2 linked regions of the Saccharomyces cerevisiae S288C genome follow. The gene in region 2 interacts genetically with the main gene of each other region. Each region holds a gene or a part of one and is shown on either strand. Other genes may lie near its edges.

Evidence for each region.
Region 1: mutations in YFH7 (region 2) and YGR016W together harm fitness more than expected from each alone (negative genetic interaction), as found in Saccharomyces cerevisiae (one large-scale study listed by BioGRID).

What each region holds. Positions count from the first base shown.
Region 1 is NC_001139.9:520,477-523,333, forward strand, and holds YGR016W (uncharacterized protein), read left to right. Parts: upstream 1-1,784; coding exon 1,785-2,357; downstream 2,358-2,857. Other genes in the region: MSB2 (Msb2p), read left to right, coding at 1-387; EAT1 (putative hydrolase), read right to left, coding at 614-1,600; YGR016C-A (uncharacterized protein), read right to left, coding at 2,770-2,857.
Region 2 is NC_001138.5:157,761-160,939, forward strand, and holds YFH7 (Yfh7p), read left to right. Parts: upstream 1-1,538; coding exon 1,539-2,600; downstream 2,601-3,179. Other genes in the region: FAR7 (Far7p), read left to right, coding at 2,775-3,179. UniProt on the Saccharomyces cerevisiae protein: ATP-dependent kinase that could be involved in endoplasmic reticulum membrane assembly.

The sequences.
Region 1 (2,857 bases), on a different chromosome or scaffold from region 2:
TCTAGCAAATCAAAGAAAAAAATCATTGGTTTAGTTATCGGCGTTGTTGTTGGTGGATGCTTATATATTTTATTCATGATTTTTGCTTTCAAGTATATCATAAGAAGGCGGATTCAAAGTCAAGAAATTATCAAGAACCCAGAAATTTCCAGTATCAGTTCAAGTGAATTTGGTGGAGAGAAAAATTACAATAATGAAAAGAGAATGAGCGTTCAAGAATCCATAACACAATCTATGCGAATTCAAAATTGGATGGATGATAGTTACTATGGTCACGGGTTGACAAATAATGACTCAACTCCAACCAGGCACAATACATCGAGTTCCATACCAAAAATTTCAAGACCAATTGCTAGCCAAAACTCCCTGGGTTGGAACGAAGTTTGATAGCAATGTCTGCAGAGACTTTCTCCGCTTGCATAACCTTATAAACTTATAACGATACCTACTTATTTCATATCTTATGTATAGTTCTCCTTCAAGGAGACGTTGTTTTAATACTTTTATCTATTCCATTTATCATTATCTACTTTGTAATCAAAGATCGAAGCACTGCTGTGTGCGTTGATTTGGGCCTGACACGAGAAGAAAGTGCGTTACGTACATCAAGATTTTATTCAAAATCCAGCGTCTCCTCCGCAAAAAAGTTCAGAATACATTTGAATGAGTCCTCTGGATTCTCCAACAGTAAATTATGCCCAGTATTAAATTCTCGGACATCAGCACAGGGAAAGTTATACCTCAGGAGGGAATAATCATTGTTAATAAAGTTAGACTGCAGGCCTTTCATGAATAAAACTTTACGACTGGCTGTGCCTTTTTGGAAGAAGTCCCTTTGGTTCGATAGATCCGGCCATTTTTTCACTTCATCCAACAGGTTCGGCATGCTGGAGAGAGGCATTGAGTAATTTATATAAGGATCATGCTGTTGTTGTTCATAGTGTAACTGTGCTTGGTGTACATTATTGGATTTTACAGAAAGAAAACCGTTGGCAAAGTAGAGTGCCACAGCTCCACCACATTTCCTCTTATTACATTCCAAACTTTTGAAAAGCTCAAGAACTTTTTTCTGCCAGCTGGGGGAACCTCTTAAAATCTTGACATCTCTGCGGATAATCCGCATTATTAAGTCATAGTTTTGTAATATCATGGGATCTAATTCTGGGGTTTCATAAGGCGGTAAATCAATTGATATACACTTTCGTATATTAATATTCTTGTACAATGTGGTTAATAATGCAATTTTACCACCCATAGAGAATCCCAGTAAATAAATAGGTCTCTCCAAGCCAATATGAGTTTCAATAAAATAAATCAAATCATTGGTCAGTGTAGTGTAGTCATAAGGTATTGCTTTTGGTGAAATGCCATGATTTCTTACATCAACAGAAAAAATATCCGCGTCAAGCTTCCTTGAAAGAAGCTTATTGAGAGAATGAAACATCACGTGTGAGCCCAAAAGGCCATGGATGTTAATAATTGCAGGTCTTTGCTCGAATTTTATTAGCGATGAAACATCTGAGGGTAAACGCGTTCTATGGAATGATAAATCGACAATTATTTTATAAGGTAGCGCTTTATTATGCGCTAGTCTCGACATTTGTAAGCCCTCTTCCCACGGTTCCTTTTATTTTGCAGTTTGTATACGTCTCGACCTTGGCATGAGACAAAAACAGTTTCCCCAAAAGACGCGCTGTGGTATTCAGTAAAGGCTGGTTTCTATGATAGGTTGAGTTTAGAATAATTTTTAAACAGGATACTAAGATAAAGCAAATATTTCAATCATGTCCAGATTAAGAAGATTCAATAGAAAGATCTTAAGCTTGAGTTCTGACTACACTCATGACGGTGAATCTGATCAAGAAGATGTATCCATATTACCATTAGATACAGAAGAGCAGGAAGAACTCATACAAAAATTTGAGACTAATGCTCACATCACAAATAAGCTGTACATAAACCTGTTAAGCATATTGTATTTGCTATATGGCGGACTGCTAATGATACTCGTAAGAAAATCGCGAGGGTATATTAAGTTAGCACTTCTTGCTGGCGCTAATTCTTTGATCTGTTCGTGCATCACACTTAGATATGATATTGTAAACGACTATCTTTTGTTCAAAAAGTTTAAGTTAAGAGTGAGCAATTTTTCTATTAACATAATAAACATTATTTTACTAGTACTTATGGCTTGGATAAGTTTCAATCATGTGGTCGAAGATAAAAAAACGGTGCTCTGTTTGCAAGTTCCAATGTTTTTATTCTGGGTCGCTGTGCTTGTGAAAAGATGGGCTCGAAATATCGAAGATGAAATCGCAGATCTAAGATGCTTGAAATACAAATACAAAAATGCTTAGTTCTATATCGCGACGTATTGTAATATTCATTGGTTAGTATATTCCGGAATATTTATTACTAATATTACAAATTGATTGGTTGGCAGCTCCTTATTTGTGAACAAGGCCAAAAAGTACTGCTACGAGCTTATTCAAGCATACATATATATAGCTTTAATTCCAAAATCATCGTCACAGGAATCTGCTTTAAAATCCAGTAAAAGACTAACCTAGTCAAAGGGGACATAGAATAGCTTACAAGAGGATTCAGTTTGGAGCTAACACTTTCTTCGGAACTTTCCAGCTTCGTACAAAAGTGCAGATACGTTAAAAGATCAGTTTATCCGTATGTTTTGAAAAGGCTATCTAGTGCAGAAGTCTCTAATTTCAATATAATAGCTTGCTAAATAGTCTTCGAGGCGTTGCATATCTATCAAGAAAACAACATGACCAATGTACCTAGAATTATAATTAAGTAGATGATGCCAATGAGGTGAGCGAGCAAAACCATGTCAATTGGA
Region 2 (3,179 bases):
TTTTTTTTACTCGCTTCTAGAAGTTTAGTATATTCTTTTGTACACAGAATTGTATATTTTTTTTATAATCTTGGATTCACCATTTAACTAGATTTGGAAATATAAGGAATGGCACTGAAAAAATTAAGGACCAACCCCGAAGAGCAAAAAATGAATGCGAATTCTGTGGATCGAACACAGGACCTCCAGATAACTTGACCGAAGTTTTTTCTTCAGTCTGGCGCTCTCCCAACTGAGCTAAATCCGCTTCTATTTATGAAAAATTCATTGTTACAGGAACTATAGGACTATAATAACTAGCTGCTAACACCTTTAAATGTGACTTTTCTCATAAGGAAATCTAGCGATTCAGAATTCGAGAATTTTGCAGATTGCAAAGTTTTCTTTTTACCATAATATTTGAGAATGTTGTAAAACTTGAGATAATTATTCGGATGTCATTGTTGATTGAAGATAGCATTCCTATGAGTCGCCCTCGAGGACTTGGATCGAAAAATCTACATAATATTAGTAATTACTATTATTGTTGGAATTGGATAAACCGTCGTCCACCTATTTGAGAAATAGGTAATTATTATATGAGTTATTTGGTTCCTTTTTGTTAAAGTAATAATTTGAAATGCCATCCATTTGGTAATATTCATGTTATTGGCATATTATCATATGCGGTTCAGGAAGATGACATAAAAGTTGAGAAACAGTTATCAACCCTAATGGAAGCTGAAATGCAAGATTGATAATGTAATAGCATAATGAAACATATAAAACGGAATGGGGAATAATCGTAATATTATTATGTAGAACTACCGATTCCATTTTGAGGATTCCTACATCCTCGAGGAGACTTCTAGCATATTCTGTGTACATAATATTATGGTCTTGATCAACAATGCAATCCCAACAGTTATCAAATTATTCAGAAAATTGATCACATTTTCGATAAATCTATTATGAAAGTAAAATTTTGACTCATACCTAAGTTCTCGTTATTCGTTAATCTTATGAACTCATTAACCTTGGCGTTTCAGCATCCGCTATGATTACTAGTGCTTAAACCTTGTTATTCATGCCTCATAATTGATGCCATCTTCTAACCTCGAGCGTGATAAAATTTTTGTAATATGAACACCAATCGGCGGAAGATCATCCCAAAGCCACATATGATGGTGCCTTATAACATTAATAACAACTTCAACTGCTGCATACCGATAATATCTTGACGATTATGCATTCGTGTCCTGATAGCTAATGCCATGAAACAATTCTTTTCAATCGCACTTGCACCTTCGTGAAATAGAAGGGTTATCTGGGCTTATCAGACTTGTCCACAGTTTACATATAATTTTTTTTCTGTATTAAATTTTGTGAGCTTTCTTTTTACTCAAACGAACTGTGTTATTTTTCGTTCATTAAATGCGTACCTTTAAGCATCATCAAGTATTGCTCTTCGGGAAAAATGAAGTAACCTTGTTAGGTTAATTTCACTAGTACTATACATATTTTATCCTGTATCATACCAGAGGATCATTCTAGCCACAATGGTCGATACGCATAAACTAGCAGACGACGTTCTTCAGCTATTGGATAACCGTATCGAAGATAATTATAGGGTTTGTGTTATCCTAGTCGGTTCTCCAGGCTCCGGTAAGTCTACTATTGCGGAAGAACTTTGTCAAATTATAAATGAAAAATATCACACATTTTTGTCAGAGCATCCAAATGTTATTGAGGTTAATGATAGGTTGAAACCTATGGTTAACCTAGTAGACTCTTTAAAGACGCTCCAGCCCAATAAAGTAGCTGAAATGATTGAAAATCAGGGGCTGTTTAAAGATCATGTTGAGGATGTTAATTTTCAACCAGTCAAGTACTCAGCCCTTACATCAAATAATGAAGAATGTACCGCAGTAGTTGCCAGAGGTGGTACTGCGAATGCCATAAGAATCGCAGCAGTTGATAATCCAGTCAATGTTAACAAGTTGGCCCAGGATAGTATCAATATAGCGCAAATAGTCCCAATGGATGGTTTTCACTTATCTCGCAGATGTCTAGACCTATTCAAAGACCCACAAACTGCCCATAAAAGAAGAGGTTCGCCCTCAACGTTTGACAGTAACAATTTCTTACAATTGTGTAAAATTCTAGCCAAGACGTCCCTATGTAAGGTCTCCTCACATCATAAATTTTACTCCACTTCAAGCGTTTTTGAGAAGTTATCCAAAACTTTTAGCCAAACAATTCCTGATATCTTTGTTCCAGGATTTAACCATGCACTAAAAGACCCAACTCCAGATCAGTACTGTATTTCCAAATTTACAAGGATAGTTATACTTGAAGGGTTATACCTACTGTATGACCAAGAAAACTGGAAGAAAATTTACAAAACATTAGCTGATACGGGAGCACTTCTTGTTTATAAGATTGACATAGACTATGAGGCCACCGAAGAAAGGGTGGCCAAAAGGCATTTGCAATCAGGGTTAGTCACGACTATTGCAGAAGGACGAGAGAAGTTTCGCAGCAATGATTTGTTGAATGGCAGGGATATAGATAATCATTTAATTAAGGTAGATAATATCGTCCATATCCGCAACGACTAGAAGGTTAGGCGGAACCTTGTATATATTTTTGTAAAATCGAACTGAATACAGATAATTAAGGCGCGCAAGCAAAAACGGCATTCTTTATGAACTCTGCAGAGGTGCCCTTTATTACGACATATATGGGAAGTAATACATATTGATTCTACAAGAAGTTCAAGCCAAGGTTTAGATATGAGTGACCAAATCAACGTTTTGTCAATGCAACAACAACAACAGCAGCAGCAGCAGCAGCAGCAAGTATATATGTCTCCTCAAGCAGAAAACTTGAATCATATGTACTTGTTAGTTAACAAGCTAGTGAAACAGTTGAGGGAAAATCAAGCAGAAAAGGCGAAAATACTAAGGAACATAGACATATTATCCGGAAGCTTAAACAAGTATGAGACATCTGAAGAACCTCACGATACCACGGAAAATATTGCATTATTTAATAGATTTCTAGAACAAAGAGGGAAAGCTCCTATTACTGAGAAAGAGCAACTAAGCAACAATCTGGATGAAAATGCGAAAGATGACGTTATGCTAGGAGTGTTGAAGCGCCAAAATTCAATGCTCCGGAAAAGTTTACAGGAATCC